Linked DNA regions of Oryctolagus cuniculus. The protein of the gene in region 1 interacts with the protein of each later gene in a pairwise test. Links are inferred from orthologs where the notes say so. Each region holds a gene or a part of one and is shown in the gene's direction. Other genes may lie near its edges.

The links.
Region 2: the proteins of APPL1 (region 1) and UBE2O interact in binary tests that used the Homo sapiens proteins (3 or more experiments, as listed by UniProt). The two-hybrid records come from large-scale screens. The link is inferred for Oryctolagus cuniculus from reciprocal best matches to the Homo sapiens genes APPL1 and UBE2O.
Region 3: the proteins of APPL1 (region 1) and ADIPOR1 interact in binary tests that used the Homo sapiens proteins (3 or more experiments, as listed by UniProt). The link is inferred for Oryctolagus cuniculus from reciprocal best matches to the Homo sapiens genes APPL1 and ADIPOR1.

The regions. Positions count from the first base shown.
Region 1 is NC_091441.1:92,679,558-92,687,060, reverse strand, and holds the start of APPL1 (DCC-interacting protein 13-alpha), read left to right. Parts: upstream 1-3,034; 5' UTR 3,035-3,178; coding exon 3,179-3,232; intron 3,233-7,503. UniProt on the Homo sapiens protein: Multifunctional adapter protein that binds to various membrane receptors, nuclear factors and signaling proteins to regulate many processes, such as cell proliferation, immune response, endosomal trafficking and cell metabolism.
Region 2 is NC_091448.1:4,313,824-4,321,095, forward strand, and holds the start of UBE2O ((E3-independent) E2 ubiquitin-conjugating enzyme), read left to right. Parts: upstream 1-3,308; 5' UTR 3,309-3,380; coding exon 3,381-3,803; intron 3,804-7,272. UniProt on the Homo sapiens protein: E2/E3 hybrid ubiquitin-protein ligase that displays both E2 and E3 ligase activities and mediates monoubiquitination of target proteins. Negatively regulates TRAF6-mediated NF-kappa-B activation independently of its E2 activity.
Region 3 is NC_091444.1:18,682,360-18,689,540, reverse strand, and holds the start of ADIPOR1 (adiponectin receptor protein 1), read left to right. Parts: upstream 1-3,217; coding exon 3,218-3,358; intron 3,359-4,364; exon of another isoform or gene 4,365-5,485; coding exon 5,486-5,602; exon of another isoform or gene 5,603-6,610; coding exon 6,611-6,782; exon of another isoform or gene 6,783-7,181. UniProt on the Homo sapiens protein: Receptor for ADIPOQ, an essential hormone secreted by adipocytes that regulates glucose and lipid metabolism. Required for normal glucose and fat homeostasis and for maintaining a normal body weight.

The DNA.
Region 1 (7,503 bases):
AGAGAGCTGGATCAGAAGTGCGGGACTCGAACCTGCACCCATATGGGATGCCAACACCGCAGGCAGTGGCTTTACCTGCTACACCACAGCACTGTCCCCTGGAGATGTTTTAAAACAGGAAATAGGACCAAATTTTTGAATGAGCAAGGTGTAGAGTGGCCTAAGGCGAGAGGATCCAATTTGAGGCATTTTATAACTCTTTCTAGTTTTATAATTTTATAATTCAACTTAACCACCTTTCCATCCAATTGAATGTTAATCTTTGTTTTGTTTTTTAACCAGTTGAGTCTGGCAACAATTCCTTGCCTTTCTCAGAACGTAATAGCCTATTGGGAGTTCTGTACAAAAACACAACTTAGATGTGCACACCATACAAAGAAGGAAACCATTTAACTGGATGAGAGATCACACCCAGATATTTCAGATACCTAACAGAAGTTTTCCTTGGAATTATTTGGTTTGGCCAAGAGAATTGTGTAACTCCCCTTCAGTTACACTATTTAACTCTTTTGTCTTATACTTTGTTTTCACTTGCTACTTATTTCTTATCAGGAGTCACTACCTTCTCCCATTTAAATCATAACATCTTTTTTCCTCTTTTTTTTCTTTAAAGATTTATTTATTTGAAAGGAAGACATCAGAGAGAGAGAGAGGAAGAGAGTGCTCTTCTGTCCTCTGGTTCACTCTCCAAATGGCTGCAAGAATTCAGGCTGGGCCAGGCTGAAGCTGGGAGCCAGGAACCCCATCCAGGTCTCCCACATGAGTAGCAGGGGCCCAAGAAATAGAACCATCTTACACTGGCTTCCAGGAGCATTAGTGGGGAATTGGATAGGCAGTGGAGCAGCAGAGACTCAAACTGGTGTTTAGATACTGGATGCTGGCTTTGCAAGCAGAGGCTTAACCTGCTGTGCCACAATGCCAGCCCCATCATGATTCTTTAGAGCACCATGATCTCTTGAAGGAAAGACAAAATTATGTTTTAAAAACCTGGGGCCAGCACTGTGGCGTAATGGGTAAAGCCATCGCCTGCAGTGCTGGTTCCAGTCCAGGCTGCCCCAGTTTTGATCCAGCTCTCTGCTATGGCCTGGGAAAGCAGTGGAAGATAGCCCAACTCCTTGGGCTCCTGCACTCATGTGGGATACCCAGAATAAGCTTCTGGGTCCTGGCTTTGGATCGGCCCAGTGCCAGCCATTACAGCCATTTGAGGAGTAAATCAGCGGATGGCAGACACTTCCCCACCACCTCTGCCTCTCCATACCTCTGCCTTTCAAATAAATAAAATCTTGAAAGAAACCACAAAAATAAAAAAAAAACAAACTTTACCATCCAGCCTAAGAAGTTAAGATGGCCATTTGGAATGTCTGCATCCCATATCAGAGTGCCTAGGTTTCAGTCCTGGCTCTGCTTCCAATTCTAGCTTCCTGCTAATGTGCACCTTGGGAGGCAGCAGTAACGGCTCAAGTATGTGGGTCCCTGCCCTCCATGTGGGATGATGGAGTGCCTAGGCTTCAGCTTCTGCTTGGCCTAGCCCTGGCCAATGCAGGCTTTTGGGGAGTGAACCAGTTAATGGGAAATCTCTGTGTGTCTCTCTCCCTCTGTCCTTCAAAACAAAAACTTTTAAAAAGAGAGAGATCAGAAGAAACCCTAGTATTTTAGTTAAAAATATGTAACTTCTGGGGCTGGCGCTGTGGTGCAGCGGTTTAAAGCCCTGGCCTGCAGCACTGGCAACCCATATGGGGGCAGGTTTGAGTCTCAGCTGCTCCACTTTTGATACAGCTCCCTGCTAACGGGCCTAGGAAAACAGCAGAGAATGGCCTAAGTGCTTGGACTCCTGTACCTATGGGGGAGACCTGGTAGAAATTCCTGGCTCCTGGCTTTGGCTCGGCCCAGCCCTGGCCGTTGCGGCCATTTGGTGAGTGAACCAGTGGATGGAAGACCTCTCTCTGTATCTGTAACTCTTTCAAATAAATAAAATAAATCTTTAAAGAAAATGTAACTTCCATCCTCATTACAGCATATGTGTTTCAATCTATCTGTGGCATCGGGCGGCGATTCATCCTTACTCAGCATCTTTTTTATTTCTTAAATGAAAACGGGATGGATTGGTGGGACAAATGGCTAGTTTATTTTGCCATTTTCTCTTTACACTGAAGAAAGCATCACTGCTAACTCTACAGAAAAATGGAGGTGGGGGAAGACGGACCGGGGAGGCAGGGAGAGACGGGGTCTCAGGCTTCACTCGCTCCAATCCCCGACTCGATGCTTCGCTTTACTGTAAAAGAAGCGATGTGAACCCGCTTTCCAATGTTTTTTTGATCGAACAGAAATGCTAATCAGTTATCAACATAAGCAAGCAGCATGGCCTCATATTTAAAGGGTGTTTTCCTTTGTGATGTAAAAGAATGGCAGGTCAGTTCTTCCTTCGTGGGTAGGTAAGGGCTGCCGAACTGGCAACAGTCATGGGTTTTTTCTTGTTGTTGCTGGTGGTGGGTCTGTGTTTTTTAAACTCAATAAACTATTACCAAGCGCCCGGAAGGCGCATTTCGATCCCGCAAATTTAGCAGAAGCTCCAGTTAATGACGGAACTTCGGATCTCACAGACATCCGTTTTGCTGGATGCTTCAGGCAGGTCTGGGAAGGTTATAATTTGAGGAAACTGAGGAAAGGCGCCAGCGGTAGGGGTTTTTCCAAGGTCGCTGACGAAATACATTGCCGGAGAAGTAAGACTGCCCCAAATTCCCCAGTGTGATGCTCCCTCGAGGTTCCGGTAACTCGCGCTGCAAGCCGTGGCGGGGGACGGGCTCTGCCGATTTGCATCCAAACGCCCGAACGCTACACGGGATCGCCCAGCCGAGACAGGGCCGCCTCCGCCACCAGCGAGGCCAGGGTTCGCAGAGCAGTTTTTCTCGCTAGAGGAACCTCTCCCGGTCAGCTCCAGCGCTGACGGGCGTGGCCTCGAGCCAATGGGAGCCCCTGGAGGCGGGGCGAGCAGGCCGGGGGGCGGGATTTCCCGCGCGGCAGCTCGGCGCCTGGCGAGGGCGGCGCGGGCGGCGTCGGCGTCGGCGGCGGCAGAGCCTGCGAGAGGGAGGGCGGGCCGCGGTCAGCTGCTGCAGGCGGGCGGGCGCGGGGAGCTGTGGGCGGCCGCTGCGTCTCCTGCCACCGCCCTCCCTTCGCCACGATGCCGGGGATCGACAAGCTGCCCATTGAGGAGACGCTGGAGGACAGCCCGCAGGTGAGGCGCGGGCGGCGGCGGGCCATGCAGGCGAGCCGGGCGGGAGGACCACAGGCCTGCGGTTGCCGCCGGTGCCCGCCCGGGCCCAGGTAGGGCCGCCGCCCAGGTATCCCCCGCCCGCGGACTCGGGCCGCGCCCGGAGCATTCGAAGCCGGGCCCGCTTCCCGAGGCCCTCGTGGGCCCGCGCTGCAGGGCCGAGGGCCGCGGGCGGGGACCGAGCCGGCCGCCGCCGCCGCCGCCTGTCGTGGGCCTGGCAGTCACGTCCGCGCGCGGGTCTCCTCTGTGTTGGATGGAAAGTGCCTGTTTTGTTGTTTTTGTTTTTAATCGCTGCGATGGGAGGTGCTAGCTCCCCCACCCCGGAATTTTCGGAGGAAAGGCAGGAAAGGGAGCCAACCTGGTAGTCTTGTTCGGCGGCCGCAGCGGCTCGGCGAGCTGGGGAGGCGAGGAAAGGAGGGCTGTGTGTCCCGGAGCCCGTCCCCGCTCTCCGCGCCCGCGGTGCTCGCGTCGGGGCCGGGCCCGGCCGCTGTCACAGCCCGAGCGGTGCGCGGCGAGCGAGGGACGGCGCCTTCGCGGCTGGCCGGCCGCCGCGCCGCTCGCTGCAGACTTGGCTCCAGTAATAAACTCATCAAAATAAGAGCCCGGTGTTGTGTGTGTGGTGCGTTGGGGGGTGATGCTGCTTTGACGGCTGGCGATTCTGACCGCTTTTTGGGAAATGTAACCCAGGAATGGAATCAGCTGTTTCAGGAAAGATGTTGGCGGGAGGGGAGTAGGGGCTGTAACTTAGCTTCGGAGAAACCTGATTCCCAAGCCTGCCTTTTATACCAATAAGCAGTTGAAGACATACTGCTAGATACCACTCGGAAACGTCTCTGAAGCTTTGTGTATTTCGAAATAAAATGCACGTATTCCACGTGTCTACGATTTGATAGGGCTCCCTCAAAAGAAAGCACAGGCTGGATCATGCCCCCTTTCCTGGGTACCTCCTCTGCCTTGGATTTTGTGCCAGTTTGAGTTGCCAGGTTGAAATTGGGCTCTGATTGTAGAACTGATTTGTACTTGTTACATTCTGAAAGTTATCTTCCCAGGCCAGTAGGTGCCGGCTGGTAATGCTCTTTTATCAGCCTAGACTAACCGAAAGAGACACCCGCATTTTGGTTTATCTTGACTCCCAGTTCAGATTTCTCTTAATGACTCCTGTAGTACAGAGTTAGAAACTGTCTTGTTTCAGGTGGTTTGTGGGAGGTTTTGGCCAGGTGCGCTTTGTCATTTTGCTTTTTTGTTCTGTAAGTTGCTGCAGGTTGCCTTACCTTCTGTGTTTTGTAGCCCAGAGAGAGACCACAGCTCAGAATGGGTTGCACTGTGCTCCAGCCACGAGTTTTGAGGCACAAATGATTTTTTTTTTTTTTTTTTGACAGGCAGAGTGGACAGTGAGAGAGAGAGACAGGTCTTCCTTTTCCGTTGGTTCACCCTACAATGGCCGCTGCGGCTGGCATGCTGTGGCCACCGCACTGCACTGATCCGAAGCCAGGAGCCAGGTGCTTCTCCTGGTCTCCCATGCGGGTGCAGGGCCCAAGGGCCTGGGCCATCCTCCACTCCCTTCGCGGGCCACAGCAGAGAGCTGGCTGCCTGGAAGAGGAGCAACCGGGACAGAATCTGGCGCCCCAACCGGGACTAGAACCTGGTGTGCCGGCGCCGCAGGCAGAGGATTAGCCTAGTGAGCCGCGGCACCGGCCACAAATGATCTCTTGACTCATCTGATTCATGTCTTGAGTTTTTCACATAGTTTACAATTTGAAAATGAGTTCTTTGTATCAGTTGTGTAGTAGTTTTTAAAATGAAATAGCTACATTGATACTTTAATATCCAGAAGCAGCACATTTGAACTGGGTAATATTTGGGAAAATTGGTTGGAAAAGCTGGGGTTTAAGGAGGAAACGGAAAGCACCTGGAGGTAATTCCCAGGGAGAACCTGTAGTTGGGCTAGAAAGCCCTGGGTGTGGAATTGAGGAGCTAAGGGTTTGTCTACCACTTGGTACTTTCTGCTCGAGGGCAAGTCACTCAAATTCTCTGAGCCTCAGTGAGTGTTTGAATTTTTCACCCTGATTATTAAAAGATAATGGTGGCTTGCTTCAGAAAAACTGGAAGATGCAGGAGAAAATGCACATTCACAATTGACCTGCCAAGCCCTAGCAGCAGACCCTATTAACAGTTGGCTTTATTCTAGTCTTTTTTATTTCAACATGTTTTAGTGTAATTGAAATTATATTGTGTTCAGTTATTTTTGTTCTTTCAGCGTAACAAATTAGCTCACATATCTTCACATTACTATATTCTGAAAGAAAAAAGTCTGAGGACAGCACCTTTCCTTAATTGACTGAACAGTTGACCTGTTGGCATTTTAGAGTTATCCCAAAATTTAGCTTTTCTGAAGAGGGCTAAATAATGCTTTTGAGCATAACTTTTTGTTCTCAGTTTAGACTATTTTATCTAGGAAAGAATCCAAGAAGTGGAGTAACAAAGAATATTAACATTTTTAAAGCTCCTGGTATAGATAAGTTTTTTTATTGGATCGTTAATCCTAATGAAAAGTGGCCTGCCAGTTGCTGTGTGAAAACAGCGTGGGAGTCATGGACAACTATCCTGAATTACTGTTACCTTTAGTAGTTTTTGCTTTATAGTAACTAGGTATTAAAATAGGGTGAATCTACAAGTTCAAATGCAGCTGATTAAACATAAGCATCTTTAAAATTATCTTGCCCATACCACACTGTTCTGCAAGAGGTCGTCTGTTGAGACAGAAAATCTTAAGCCTGCACTAGGTGACTTGACCATGTTTATAAATCATTTTGAAAATGAGACAAAAAATAAAACATGCTAAGAAGAGGTATGACTTCTAAAAATTATTGATTTTGGCAGCCTGCATTGTGGTGTTAGGAACTGTGATGCTGGGAACCCATATGGGCTCTGGTTTGTGCCCCACCTGCTCCACTTGTGAGCCAGCTCCCTGCTAATGGCCTGGGAAAAGTAGTGGAAGATGGCCTATGTGTTTGGGCCCCTGCCACCCACTTGGGAGAGCTGGATGAAGCTCTGTTGGCCTGGCTGTTGTGGCCATCTGGGGAGTGAACCCAGCGATGGAAGATATGTCTCTCCCTCTCTCTCAGATTTTTGAATAAATTTTTAAACAATTATTGATTTCCTGTATACATACTTAATGATTGATCCATGATATAGAATGGTGAAGACAAACCTCAATCTCAAGTGAGGATTTCTTTGTTTGCATAATGTGAAATACCCATAGAATGTAAGATACACTTTTTTAATTCCATGTTTTAACATCAGATTCCCCTGGCAGTTGTAATGTATTTGACCTTGCCTACAGATGAACAAACTTGTTTGTTTCTCCTAGTGGCATACTGTCCAAGTGCAGCCTCTTAGTAAAGTTAGCAAATCAGTTTAACAGTCATTTGAGGAAGGAAAGGTTGTTACTGGAAAACCTTTTTCTGCTTGGTGGAAGTGAGAGTCTGTCTTGGAAGATGATACTAGGAACAAAGGTGGAGAAGGTCTAAGAAATACTTGTCACATCCCTCAAATTCATGGAACACAGAATAACATGTAAGATAACATGAATAACATGTGTGAGAAAACAAGAATATTGATGACTTTGGAGTAAAAAATGGTTCATAAGAGTTGAACTCTGGGAGCCGCGCTGTGGCATAGCGGGTAAAGCCCACCACTGTAGTGCCACATTCCATATGGGCGCTGGGAAAGGACTGGAAGACAGCACCACCTCTGGAGAAGGGAAGGCAAGTCCCTCTGCTTTCCAGCACTACGCTCCGTCTGGAAAAACCCAAGGTCAGTCTTTGACCAAAGTCCCTCTTTCCCCAACTTGGGATGACATACTTTTTTTTGTTTGTTTGTTTTTGACAGGCAGAGTGGACAGTGAGAGAGACAGAGAGAAAGGTCTTCCTTTGCCATTGGTTGACCCTCCAATGGCCGCTGCAGCCGGCGCGCTGCGGCCGGCGCACCGCGCTGATCCGAAGGCAGGAGCCAGGTGCTTCTCCTGGTCTCCCATAGGGTGCAGGGCCTAAGGACTTGAGCCATCCTCCACTGCACTCCTGGGCCATAGCAGAGAGCTGACCTGGAAGAGGGGCAACCGGGACAGAATCCAGCGCCCCAACTGGGACTAGAACCCGGTGTGCTGGCGCCGCAAGGCCGAGGATTAGCCTATTGAGCCGCGGCACTGGCCTTGGGATGACTTACTATTACTCCTT
Region 2 (7,272 bases), on another chromosome or scaffold:
ACCCCACTGGCCAGCCTGGGAGGGAGGGACAGCGGCTGAGGGCTCCGGGTCTGGGGCGGCGTCCAGAGCACCTCGGGCCCCAGTGCGGTCACTGAAAGGTGGGGAGGAACTGACTGGAGGCAGCTGGAAGGGTTTGCAGGCTTGCCCAGGAGGTCAAAGTCTCTTGCCCCAAGCTTCAGCTCATTGTGTAGGGGCATGGTGGGGGGGAGGGGCAGGGGAACCCAGGTGGGCCTTCGACACCCGGCAGCTGACACAGGATTGACTGAGTTCCAACACTCAGCCTGTACTGAGCCTGCACCAGGCAGACGTGACCCGAGCCCCGCGCTCTGGGATTCCGTCTGGTGAGGAAGCCGGCAGCATTCGACATCGGGGACTCTTACCTGCAACCCGGCGGGTTCCTAATACCCTATGCAAAGCACTTAGCCTGGTGCCTGGCAGGACGTTTCCAGCTCAGTAAGTGGCAGCTATTATTAGCTGTTATTACAAGAAGCTGCAGAGTAAACGCGGCACATCTTCCTGGAGTGCCGATTTCCCTCAAGGATTAGGGCAGAAAGCACATCCCTATTTTTTACGTCAAAATGACAGGCGTGCGCTCGAGTAGGATGCAAAACGCATTTGGGTCTTTTTTTTTTTCACATCAAACACAGGTTTGAGGCCGGCACTGCCCCGCCCCTTCGGCCTACTTGCTCCTTCCACCCCCTCCCCGTGGACACAGGGACACATGGATGCCCCTGTCAGTCAGGAGCTTGCAGAGAGACAGCTGGAGACACAGCCCCTCTGCTTGCAAAGCGAGGTCTCCACCTCTTAGGCCCCTGGTGTTTCCATGCTGGTGGAAGGGGGCCACAGCTCCTTTGTCCAAGGTAGCACACAGGATAATGCGTGTGGAAGAGCCCGGCACAGGCCATGGTATGGTATGTACTTGATGAATGTTGGGTAGGGCCTGGCTTTGCGGTGCAGTGGGTGAAGCCGCTGCCGGCAGCGCTGGCCTCTGTGTGGGCACCGGTTCAAGTCCCGGCTGCTCCACTTCCCATCCAGCTTCCTGCTAATGCACCTGGGGAAGCAGCAGGAGACGACCAAGGGCTTGGGCCCCATGTGGGAGACCTGGGTGGCTTCATCGTGTTCCAGCCCCTCATTGTGGCCGGTTGGGGAGTGAACAAGTGGGTGGTGCTCGCCGGCTTTGAAGAACCTGGATACTGTAATATCAGCCTTCTTACTGATGGTCTTGCAGAAAATGAACTAGACTGAGAAAGATTCGGGCCAGTTCTTGAGGATTCTTAACTTTTTCTAGCCACTCGTCGTGAATCTGTCCTCTGAGAATATTATCTAAATCTTTTGGAACTGACTTAGGTGACATTTAATTGGTTGAATGACTTATATTTTGAAACGGCGACACGGAGCAGACCATACAGTAACAGTTCTGGGGGCCTGGAGCTTGGGCTTAGACGGGTTTTCAACATCACAATCATGGTTAAGCTTGCAGAGGCGTGGTTCTACTTCATCCAGCCCTCTCAGCTGAACGACGACACAACAATATCACCCCATTTTACAGGCGACAAAGCTAAGGCGAGGAGCAGCCGTCTGGCCCACTGGTTAAGACGCCTTCATCCCGCAGGGGATACTGGGTTGGGTACTCGGCCCCTGACTGCACTTCCTGCCGGAGTGCATGCTGGGAAGCCATGGTGACAGCTCAGGTGCTTGGGTTTCCACCACCCGTGAGAGACCTGGGTTGAGCTCCGGGCTCCTGGCTTCAGGCCCCGCCCCCAGCCCCGGCCACTGTGGGCATTTGGGGGTGAACCTGCAGATGGGGGCACCCCCCCCTTTGCCTCTCAAGTGAATGAACACTTTTTAAGGTGAAAAAGTTAATTATTGTGCCTACCTTTATGTACATTAGTGAGTAGCAATGTCAAAAATTAGAATCTGTGGAACTGGAATCCTTTTTTTTTTTTTTTTAAATATTTATTTATTTATCCGGGGCAGGTGCTGTGGTGCAGCAGGTTAGAGCTCTGGCCTGAAGTGCCGGCATCCCATATGGGCACTGGTTCTAGTCCTGGCTGCTCCACTTCTGGTCCAGTTCTCTGCTGTGGCCTGGGAAAGCAGTGGAGGATGGCCCAGGTCCTTGGACCCCTGCACCCACATGACAAAAGAAGCTCCTGGCTCCTGGCTTCGGATCAGTGCAGCTCTGGCCATTGCAGCCATCTGGGTAGTGAAGTAGCGGACGGAAGACCTCTCTCATTGTCTCTACCTCTCTCTGTAACTCTGTCTTTCAAATAAAATCTTTTTAAAAAGATTTATTTATTTATCTGAAAGGCAGAGTTAGAGAGAGAGAGAGAGAGAGAGAGAGAGAGAGATCCTCCATCCGCTGGCTCACTCCCCAAATGGTGACAACAGCCAGAGCTGTGCGGATCCAAAGCCAGGAGCCAGGAGCTTCATCTGGGTCTCCCACGCGGGTGCAGGGGCCCAAGCGCCAGGGCTATCCTCTACTTCTTGGAACTGGAATCTTTTAACCACCTCATTATCTTATCTCTTGCTATGCACGCTAGGCCTTGTGGAACGTTGAACTCATCGAAATTTTTTTAAAGATTTACTTATTTATTTGAAAGAGTGACAGAGCCGGAGAGATAGACTGAGATCTTCCATCTGCTGGTTCACGGGTGGCAGGGGTCCAGGCACTTGCGCCGTCTTCCACTGCTTTCCCAGGTGCACTAGCAGGGAGCTGGACGGGGAGTGGAGCAGCCTGGACGTTCAACCCTCATATGGGATGCGGGCGGCGCCTCTGGATGGCTTTAAACCCTGGGGCCCTGACGTTTGCTTTGCTTTCTTACTGTTTCCCCGACTCCCCTTCGCCGGCCCGGCCCAGTGCTGCGCGACCTTCCAGTGCTGCGCGACCTTCCCTCACGTGTCTATCAGAGCCTTGCGGACAGGCTGCTTAACGCGTGTTTGTTTTGCCTTTCCGGAGAGCCTGTAAACACCTGGAAGCCAGAGGCAGCCTCGCACCGCCCAGCACCGGGCAGGGACGCCCGGGAGCGCATGGACGGCCTCTGGACCAAGCGCCCTCCCCGCTTCGGCCCCTGCCCAGGTCCTGGACGACCACTCCGCTTCCTCCTCCGAGTCCCGGCTCCCTCCACCCCGATGCCCTCGGGCCTCCCCAGCCGGCCGAATCCAGCGTCCCCCGCCCCGGGGGAGCATCTTCAGCGTCCCCTAGCGACGACGCGGCGGCTCCTAGCAACCGCATCCAGGCTCCCTGACGACGGAGGCACGCAGGCCACGTCAGCGCGCCGCGGCCACGCCCCCGGCGCGCGCTGGCCCCGCCTCCCCGCGCCTCGTCCGCCGCCGCCGCCGCCGCCGCCGCCGCCGCCGCCCGAGACTCACGCAGAGCAGTTATGGCGGATCCCGCAGCCCCCGCGCCCGCAGCTCCCGCTCCCGCCCAGGCCCCAGCCCCAGCTCCGGAGGCGGCCCCGGCCCCGGCCGCAGCCCCTGCCCCGGCGTCGGCGCCGGCCGCCGGGCCGGACTCGACCTCCGGGCCCTCCTCCGACTCCGGCCCCGAAGCCGGCTCGCAGCGTCTGCTGTTCTCTCACGACCTGGTGTCGGGCCGCTACCGCGGCTCGGTGCACTTCGGGCTGGTGCGCCTCATCCACGGCGAGGACTCGGACTCCGAGGGCGAGGAGGATGGCCGCGGCAGCTCGGGCTGCTCGGAGGCGGGCGGCGCCGGCCACGAGGAGGGCCGGGCCAGCCCGCTGCGCCGCGGCTACGTGCGCGTCCAGTGGTACCCGGAGGGCGTCAAGCAGCACGTGAAGGAGACCAAGGTGCGGCCGGGCGGGTCGGGCGCGAGGGGCGGGGAGGGGTCGGCCGCGGCCGCCCGGGCGGGCCGGCCGTGCCCGGAGCGCCGCCACTGCAGTGGCTCCATGCAAAGTCATTGCACCAGCTCCGGGCGGACACGCCAAGCCGGCGCTGCTGGCCTGGGCCCGGGCCCCGGGCTTCCCGGCTCGAGGGGGAGGGGACCTGCCAGCCGCGCCGGGCCGGGCTTCGGCCTCCAGGTCGCGGGCGTGCCGCGCTCCCGCGGGGGGCAGAGCTGCCCCCAAGGAGCGCCTTGCTGCATTGTGCGTCCGGAACGGCGGGCCGCGCCGCCCGGTGCAGGGAGGGAGGGGTCGCAGCTCTCGGGGCCGAGATCGGGGGACGGCCCTGGAAGTTCCCCAGGTGCAGAAAGCCCCGCGGGGCAGCCGGCCTGCCTCTTTTTGTCTCACGGAGCCGCCCCGGTTCTCTGACTGCAGCGGGGAGCTTGGCGTGTGAAATTCTCCAGGAGGTTAAATAGCACCGGGGTGGGGGTGGGGGTCCTGACGGCGGCCTGGGCGGTGGGGGACTCCCGCGTGCTTGCGGACTTTTTGGGAGGACAGATGATTACAGGACCATGGATAGGGGACCGGCCCCGACTGGGGAGCCTGGAGCGTTTTTCTGGATTCCGAAGCTGTTAGGCAAACATCAGAGTCCCATATGGCACTGGGGTGCGGCTGGTGGCTGTCGCAGTTTTTAGACAACAAAGGGGCTTGTCATCCTAAACCTGAAACCCTGCACCCAGGTTGGTGTGGTAGCTTGTCCACGCCCCCTCCCCGTGTGACTAACTGTCAGTGGTCACACACACCTCCATCGCACACCCTCTCGTCCTCACCTCCACCCCTGCCCTCCGTGTGAAACGGGAACCCGGCACCCGGCCGGCCTGCGCTGTCTGATCTCACAGGCTCCACTTGAGAAGTTAATCTGGGTTTCTCTCACGCCGGGAGACAAAGACCACGGAGGAGCAGCTCCGAGCCCCACTGCACGGGGCTCTGTGAGGACGGCTGGGCGGGGACAAGGCCCCTCGCCTGCCAGCGCTTTCCTGGTGGCAGAAGTGACTGCTGATCCCAGCAGGGTCTTTCTCTCGCTAATGCGCATGCACCCACAGGCCCAAATCCACACACAGGCCCGGGCCTCCCCTCAGAAATGCAAATCAGGCAGCCGTCTCCGACTGGGTATACGTTCATTTGCAGAAGTCTTTGGAAAATACTGCTTTTAGCCAGGGATGCATGTTTAAAAAAATGTGCGGGTGCTCCGTGCACGCCCTCATTGTCTTGCGGGCAGGTGCTGACTGCTGTCCCCGGGAGGTGGTCACCTCCGGTCCTCTCTGGAGGCTGGTGACTTTCGGGATGCAGCTCACTTGACTCCAGCATCTGCCCGGCACCCAGGAGGCAGCTGTTTATCAGTTGCCGCTCCTGCCCAACTTGACTTTGGTGGTTAACTTTGTTTACAGCCACGCTAGGTGCGCCTCCCTCACCATGTGTAATTATACCAAGTTTGCCTTAAGATGCCTATTTAGGGAGTCAAGTGAGGATGACTTGCAGGCACCACTCGAGTAGGTTTTAAGACGGCCCTCGTGTGACTCGCCTGGAATCATTCAACTCCGTTTTGCCGCCCCGGTGGTGGTGGTTTCTTTGCCGTCATGGCTTTTGGACTTAGCAGAAGCCCAGGGCGCAGGGACCCCTCGGAAGTGAGTGCAGTGTCCGGATCTTTTGAGGGCCTGGAGATAGGTCCAGCGGTTGGCACAGACGACCTTGGTCCACTGCAGGTCTCCTTGCAGCACTGTGGACTAGGGAGATGTTCCTCTCATCTCCTGTTCTTCTAGATTCCGTCACGGCGATGGCCCGCTGTGGAGACCATCAGACCAAGGCTAGGATTTGGTTCTGGTGCCTGCCCCGGCAGTAATCCAGTGATGAGATTTAGAGCCCAGTTATCAGTAGAATAGCATGGGGCACACTGGGTTCTAGTCCCAGTCGGGGTGCCGGATTCTGTCCCGGTTGCCCCTCTTCCAGGCCAGCTCTCTGCTGTGGCCAGGGAGGGCAGTGGAGGATGGCCCAGGTGCTTGGGCCCTGCGCCCCATGGGAGACCAGGAGAAGCACCTGGCTCCTGCCATCTGATCAGCGTGGTGCGCCGGCCGCGGCGGCCATTGGAGGGTGAACCAACGGCAAAGGAAGACCTTTCTGTCTCTCTCACTGTCCACTCTGCCTGTCAAAAAAAAAAAAAAAAGAATAGCATGGGGTGGCATTGAGGAACTTTGCCTTTTTTGATAGTGTGGAGTGAACTTTGCCTTTTTTGATAGTGTCCCTTTAGTGTGGAGTGTTTCTGAGGCTGTGGAGGATTTTTTTTTGTAGTTTTCATGTTGAGTTGGAGGGCAGTGAGTGAGTTTGCAGTGAACAAGTTTACAAGGAGAGAGAGAAACTGGGCAGCAAGTCCTGCCCTCACCCCGCCACCTCTGCGCAAGTGAGCAGTGCAAATAAAGGAGTTCTTACAGCAGCCCAAATGGAGTTCCTTTGGAACTGGACGGAAGAGAGTGACCGGGGCCTCTGAGGTGGGCCCGCCTGTCCGCAGCCTGCTGGTGCCTTCAGCGCGCTGGCCATTTACCCTTGAAACTTGAGGGGGCGTACCCGTCCCCGCCAGCGGTCATCCGTTGCATACATTGTGGAGTGGAGCCCAGATGCGGGCAGCCTCTCCTCTCCTGAACACCGGCGGGCCTGTGGCTCTTCCTGGCCCCCGTGGGAGGAGCCAGGACTGCAGCCTCCTTGTGTTTGCCCGTCCTGCCTGTGTTTGCCCGTCCTGCCTGTGTTTGCCCGTCCTGCCTGTGTTTGCCCGTCCTGCCTGTGTTTGCGCGTTCTCCCAGCCCCCCTGTGTTGTCTTTTGCTGCGAGTTGCCCCGGCACTGCGGGTGTCCGGGTTTGAGACACAAAGCCTCCAACCTGAAGCCGTGTGTGATCACCCTGCTTTTATGAGGCTGCCTAAGAAGCAGCCCAGTGACAGGTCCCTCAGGAATTGGCTTTTTAGTTTATTTTTGGCTCCTACTTAGGCCAGCATTTCCATGGGGAAAGCTTTCAAGGTGCAGCAGCGTCACACAGCACGTGAAGTTCGACTCGCTTGTCGGGGTGCCGGGCCCATTAGAAGCAGTTGTTCCCAGTGATGTGACAGGAAGAAGTTATGTAAGGTGGACGGATGCAGGACCAAGTGCATTCTATTCAGATGGGATCCCAGCGCCTGGGGATTCCGGCAGCGCTGGCATTTTACTTTCTGCCCCTCGGCTTTTCCGCTTCTAACTAACTCCTGGGCCTCAGCGCCGGAGAGCGTCTCTGTCCAGATGCTGCCTGGCTCAGGGCCACTCTGACCAGACAAGGGTGCGTTTTGTTTTGTCCTGGGATTGGAGTCAGACGTGTGGGTGCCCTCCTCGGCTGGCACCTAACTCTGCACGACCTTGGCC
Region 3 (7,181 bases), on another chromosome or scaffold:
AAAAGGGAAAAAAAATTGAATGATCAGGGCAGACTGCACACAGTGAGCATGACTTGGCTTCTCGGCACCAGCTAGAGTTCTTGCCCTTTTCCTTGTACTGTGGGGCTCTTGTATCCCCTCCCCAGAGCAAGCCAACCCATTCACTAGCACCCTAAAGAATTGTTTTTTAAGATTTATTTATTTATTTGAAAGAGAGGCAAAGGCAGAGAGTTAGAGGTCTTCCATCCACTGGTTCACTCCCCAGATGGCCACAACGGCTGCAGCTGGGCCAGTCTGAAGCCAGGAGCTTCTTCCGGGTCTCCCACATGGGTGCAGGGGCCCAAGCACTTGGTCCATCCCCTGCTGCTTTCCCAGGCCACAGCAGGGAGCTAGATTGGAAGTGGAGCAGCCGGGACTCAAACTGGTACCCATAAAAGATGCCAGAGCTGCGGGCAGAGGCTTCTTTGGCTGTGCCATGGCGCGGGCCCCCTCGTTTAATCATCTTTTTTTGTTGTTGTTGTTTTTATTTGACAGGTAGAGTTATATATAGACAGTGAGAGAGAGGCAGAGAGAAAGGTCTTCCTTCCGTTGGTTCATTCCCCTAATGGCTGCTACAGCCAGTGCTGCGCCGATCCGAAGCCAGGAGCCAGGTGCTTCCTCCTGGTCTCCCATGCGGGTGCAGGGGCCCAAGCACTTGGGCCATCCTCCACTGCCTTCCTGGGCCTCAGCAGAGAGCTGGACTGGAAGAGAAGCAACCAGGACTAGAACCCGGCCCATATGGGATGCGGGCGCTGCAGGTGGAGGATTAACCAAGTGAGCCACGGCGCTGGCCCCTTCAATCATCTTGAAACATGAGGTCTGACCCAAATCAGAGATGTGTATCTTGACCTGTGTAGCGTTGCATCCCGAATGCGAGGCTGTTTGTTTAGCTGTGTTTCTGCCTTGGGTCTGCTCCGTGCTTCTCTCAGACCTCTCCAAGATGCCCAAGTCTAGTTACATTTTTGCTGGTGGTATAGATTATTTCTTCGGGAAGCTGTTTATTCAGCAGCCTGTCATTTTAAGGAAGTGTGTTTTCAGGTCAGCCTATTGAGAAACGTTTCCTAATGTTTCTTCTGGTGGGGGCCGGGATCTCCCGAGGTCCTCAGGGGCCTCCAGTTTCCTGTTCTCCTTGAGCTCAGCTATTGACTGTGCGCGGGCATCTGCCTTGTCAGAGCCTTGCACATTTAGGGGAAGAGGAACTGTGCGCGTTGTCACCACGTAAGCTCTGCCTGCTGTGCGGTGAGCTGTTGTCTGTCTCCCTCGGGCTAGGTTTGCCTGTTGCTTTCAGCTCTGGTTCTGGGTTGAACATGTAGTATGAGGCATGACTGTTCTGAAACTTGAGGGCAAATTAAAGTATTAGTCAGTGTTCCCCAGCCAGAACCAACAGGGTGGATGGATGGAAGAGAAGGGGTTTATTGGGCAGCTGGCTCACATGATAACGAGGACTAAGTCCCATGACAGGCCATCTGCAAGCCGGAGGACGAGGAAAGCCGACAGAGTGGCCTCGTGCACACCCAGGGTGCCAGCAGCCTAACTCAGTCACACGTGGGGCTGCTGGCACAAGTCCCAGAGCCCAAAGGCTGGAGAATCTAGAGTTTTAGATGTCCAAGGGTGGAAGCACGTCTGGCTGTGAGAGCGAAGGGGGAGGGGGGAGGAAGAAATGAATTCTGTCTTTCCTCTGCCTCTCTGTTCTGTCCGGGCCCGCAGCCCATTAGTTGGTGCCGCCCACAGTGAGTGAGGACACAGCTTCCTTACTCGATGCAATGATTCAAACACCAGTCTCTTCTAGAAACAACCTCACAGGGACACCCAGAAATAATGCCTTATTAGCATTGTAGGTGTCCCCTAATCTGTTCAAGTTAACACAAAAAATTAGCCATCCCACCTGATTGCATATATCCAATGCAGTCCCTTAGAAGAAACTATAATTACTCTTGGATAGAAACTGGTACAGGATGCCAAAGATGTTTGCATTCCTGGCGAATGGCCATCAACAAGAGAGTGTCTTGTACGGGAGCAAAGTCGCGTCTCCTGTGACCAGCTCACTCCATGTGCAGGTGTGACTTGGCCCTCTTTGCAGTGGCCTGTGGTTATTAGGGCTTGGGTAACCACCGCAAGAAAATTCTAACATCTGGCCACAACTTCCCTGTGTGTAATAAAGTCCCTTGTCTGGAGTCGGGGAGGGGAGCAGAACAGTAATTTGCAGCACAAGTAAACATCTTTGGGACCAGCTCCCTCCTTCTGGTGTTCTTGGCATGTCCCTGAGGCCTGGTGAGAGATTGCGACCCCAAGTCCAGCCCAGGAGAACCGAGTGTTTCTATGCCTTTTCCTAGAAAACCGAATTCTGGGTTTCTTCAGTTTCCCTAAAGGATTTGTGTTCCTTTTTGTAATTTCTGAAAACCTAAACTGAGTGGGGCTTAGCTTATGTCTGTGGTGGTTGGGACAGGCTCTTGTGCAGCCAGTTATTAGGGGTGTGTGTGTGTGTGTGTGTGTGTATTGTTTGTGAGGCAAAGGGCAAACCTGGGGCTGCCTTCTTGCTTTCAACTTCCTGCTGCCAGGTAATGTTGCTTGCTTTAAGGGGAGATTGTGATGAAATCTTACTATCCAAGGAGAACCCAGCCTGTAATCCTATAATGCCTATAGAATTAGCAGATCCTACAAACAAATTTCCTGCTGGTCATCCCTCGCACAGGCAAGTGGCTTTTGTATGCAAAACACATTTGTCAGAGCATTTGTAGGTAAAGCGCAACTGAGTCAGTTGGTGTTTAACTCATTTCTGAGCCTGGGTGATCGGACAGCAGCTGCAGCCCCGTGGCGGGAGTGATCACCGCAGACCGTCCTCCTGCAGGGACTCCACACCTAGAGGAGTGGGGGTGGGGTAGCTTGTCTCGGTGGTGACTGTTTGCAGCCATGTCGGCAGGATCAGCAGGTTCTTAATACAGAATGCTATTAAAGACAGGCAAGAATAGAATTCTTCTAAGCAATTCATTGGCTTTCAGAATTGAAGACACGGTGTGTGTGGATTAGCTGTGTCTTAGTATTAAATTATGGAGGTGAAACTATAAGAGGAATAAATCGACGACCTTCACATTGTGTTTGATTTCAGCGTCAACCATCACAGGGAGATCTCTGCCTCCTGGGGCTGAGAGCCCCCGACCCCCCGCAAGCTGAAGCTGCAGGGTACTGCGGTGCCAGCCTGATGTCTTCCCACAAAGGATCCGCGGCAGCACAGGGCAACGGGGCACCTGCCAGCAACAGGGACGCAGACTCGGTGGAGCTGACCGAACTGGGACCCCTCTTAGAAGAGAAGGGCAAACGAGCAGTCACCAACCCAACCAAAGTAAGTCGCTCCCGGAGCCGTTCCCCGGCCAGGCGCGCGCCCTGGCCCTCTGTCGGCCGCTGTGCCTTAGGATCCGAGCCCCCCAGGAACATCTCTGTCCGAGGTCTCATCGGTATCTTTTTGCCTGTTTTTTCCACTCTGAGTTTCTGGGAATTCACTCCTCTTTGTAACCCCAGCATTTAGCACAAGGCCTGAAAGCCAGGAAGGGAGGGAGCAGACGGTTAGGGGCGCGCTCGACGGCCTATAGCAGCACAACTTCTGCAGCTTTGACAAGACAGCATCTCACGTGAGAGGTTCTGGAAGGAGCCAGCGCGTGGCTGATAGGCGGGCGCACGCCTGCCAAAGCCCGTCTGGCTCCTCAGTCGTTCTAGGCGTTGTCTGTCACGCACACTACTCCCTGGGGATGAGGACACCTCCTTCCCTCTGGAAGACACTCCAGGACACGCGGGCCGAGGGGAACGACGCCGTTACATTCAGCCACAATGGAGGCTCCAAAGCGAGTCTTTTCCTTGGGCCTGAGTAGCATTGCCACCCTGAAGAGTACAAGGACTTACCTAGGAAGAGAGAGACGGTGGATGTTGGGATAGGCAAGCAGAATCTGCATCGCAGGATCTAAGAGGGACTGTGTGTTTCAACAAGAGGGCGAGGGAGCAGCCCAGAGAAAGGACAGGACTGCCAGGGTCTCCATCTCCATGGCTGGAGGCCTGGGACGGGGAGAACGGTCTCTTCGAATGGTCTCTCTTCTGCATGGGTACGGGCTCTTGCTACTGCCGCCGTCTGGGGAACCGGTTCTGATCACTGACCCTCCTGGGGGCCTCCGTGGATACAAAGTTGCAGTCAAATAGCATCCCCAGAGTCAGCTCACAGAACCAGGAACAGAATTGTGAAGGCAGTCGGAGACTCTGTGCCTACTTGACAAGTTGAAAATGTAGTGGTCTGAAAGAACTATTTGGAAATTGGGGGAAGCTGAGATTTACCAGCCTCAAGAGAAGGATGGGCCGTTGTCTTTTTTTTTTTTTTTTAAGATTTATTTATTTATTTGAAAGGTGGCGTTAACAGAGAGAGCTAGCTTCCACCCATTAGTTCAATCCCCAAATGGCTGCAACGGCCAGGGCTGGGCCAGACTGAAGCCAGGAGTTTCACCTGGGTCTCCCATGTGGGTACAGGGGTCCAAACACTTGGGCCATCTTCCACTGCTTTCCCAGGCACATTAGTAGGAAACTGGATCAGAAGTGGCGCGGCCAGGACTTGTACTGGTGCCCATATGGGATGCCAGCACTGCAGGCAGTGGCTTAACCTGCTTTGCCATAGCACCAGCTCCATCATCAAGTCATTTTGTTTTTGTTTTTAAAAATTTATTTATTTATTTGAAAGGCAGAGTTAGAGAGGTCTTCCATATACTAGTTCACTCCCCAGTTGGCTGCAACAGCCAGAGCTGGGCCGATCCAAAGCCAGGAGCCTCTTCCAGGTCTCCCAGGCTGGTACAGGGGTCCAAGGACTTGGGCCATCTTCCACTGCTTTTCCAGGCCATAGCAGAGAGCTGGATCAGAAGAGGAGCAGCCAGGTCTCGAACTGGTGCCCATATGGGATGCCGGCACCGCAGGTGGCAGCTTTACCTGCTATACCACAGCACCGGCCCCGCCATCCAGTCTTAACACCTGGGGCTGGTGTGCCCGTCCCCTGTCCCTCAGCTGTCTTCTCCGCCAGGACCTGTCTCCTGGTGCCAAGTGGAACTTCCACTCCCGCGTTTACAAAGTGTTCATAATTTCAGACCACAGTGTTGTGAACCAGTAAATATGGGGGTACTTTAAAAGTTTGTAGAAAACTGGGGTGTAAAGATGAGTTTATTTTGGTATGAAAAAATTGAAATCTTTGCATGCAGTTTTTTCTAATATACATTTTTCATGAGCTTTTTGAGTATCATGTATATAAATTTCAAATCTTCTTGTACCAAAATGAATGCATCTTTTACTTGCGTTGCCCATGAACTTCCCCTCGCATCCTCCTGTCGTGCTCTGGCCCTGTGTAGGAGAGAGGCCGGCAGAAAGCACTGAGTTGTGTTTCTCTGCTGCTCGCCGGGCCTGGTGCGGCACAGTGGGTGAGGGGACTCCCTGTGTTTTCCCGCAGGCTGAAGAAGAGCAAACATGCCCGGTGCCCCAGGAAGAAGAGGAGGAGGTGCGGGTGCTGACGCTGCCCCTGCAGGCCCACCACGCCATGGAGAAGATGGAGGAGTTCGTGTACAAGGTGCAGCTCGGGAGCCTGTCCTGGGAGGGCGAGGGCGGCCGGCTTACCTGGACGTTCCCGCTGGCGAGCTGCCGTGGGCCCAGGAGCTTTCCCGCTGCGGGCGGGTTTGTCTTGTTGGTTAAGGTGAAGTCGAGGTGATGCAGCCTGGGCAGATGTTTAGTGCCTGCTGTACCCGGCATTGTTCACAATAGTCTAAGCAGGGGTTCTCTGCTGTTTTATGCTAAGAAGTCTATGTCAGTGCACTGCGGTGCTGTAGGTTCCTTTGTGACATGCCACATGAGCAGTATTGCTGAACTCGAGTCGAAGTGTACTTTCTGAGTAGTGGTGAGCATTTTGAAATACCTGCAGAAGTAGCGTGTGAGAACATCGGAGGTTTCTGTTGGCGACAAAGCCATATGTTCTAATACTCTGGTCCGTTGCCTACATCTGTAATTGAGGGAAATCCTAAATGCAGTTAGAGATAAATGAAAACCAAGGTCCTTTTTTCCATCCAAGTTTTCATCCACTCCCTGGATTTTGTCCATGGTGCACAGACCCTAGACTCAGACCCCTGCTCTAGACCGTAGAAGTCACGGCCAAAAAGAACTGAGAGTGTGACCGCGGGAGGGATGGAGCGGGGCAGGCCGTCTCCTGGAGAGGGACGAAGAAGGGCTCGTGTGTTTATAAAACCCGAAGTGAAATTTGTCTTCATTCACTAGTTCAGTTTTGAAATTTCAAGTGGCCTAAAGGAGGTGTGGCAGATTTGTTTTAAAAGCTGAAAATCGCGTACAAAAACATATCCAGATACACAATCGTGAGACAAGGACGTCGCAGTTTTTAGAAAGCGGTCAGAGTCTGAGTCAGCGCCCTGGTAGCCCACGCATGCTGTGACTCGGCTGGTCCACGCTGCTTCCCTGCTTGTCCCAGGGACCAGCGGAAGCTTGCCCGACAGTTTCCCAGATGGGGTCTCGGGGTCCCTGCTCATCCCAGGGAGCCAGTGTTTGCCTAGCGCGAGCTTGCCTGTTGCAGGTATGGGAGGGCCGCTGGCGGGTCATCCCGTACGACGTGCTGCCCGACTGGCTGAAGGACAATGACTACCTGCTCCACGGCCACCGGCCGCCCATGCCCTCCTTCCGGGCCTGCTTCCGAAGCATCTTCCGCATCCACACGGAGACCGGCAACATCTGGACCCACCTGCTTGGTGAGTGGCTTGGGTCGGGGTGGGGGAGGGGATCCGGCTTTGTTTCCTTAACTACCAAGGGATTGTGTAGCCTTTGTCCTTGGGAAGGAAGGCCCGTGTAGTTGCTCTGGTTAATGGATAGCTGGAGTTGTACCCCCCCCCTTTTTTTTTAAGATTTATTTATTTGAAAGGCAGGGTTACAGAAACAGTGAGAGGGAGAGACAGAAACAAAGAGAAACTTCCACCTGCTGGTTCACTCCCCAAATAGCCACAGAGGCTGGGCCTAGGCCAGGCTGAAGCCAGGAGCCTGAAACTCCATCCAGGTCTCCCACGTGGGTGCAGAGGCCCAGCACTCGGGCCGTCTGCTGCTTTCCCAGGTGCGTTAGCAGGGAGCTGGATTGGAAGTGGAGCAGTCAGGAC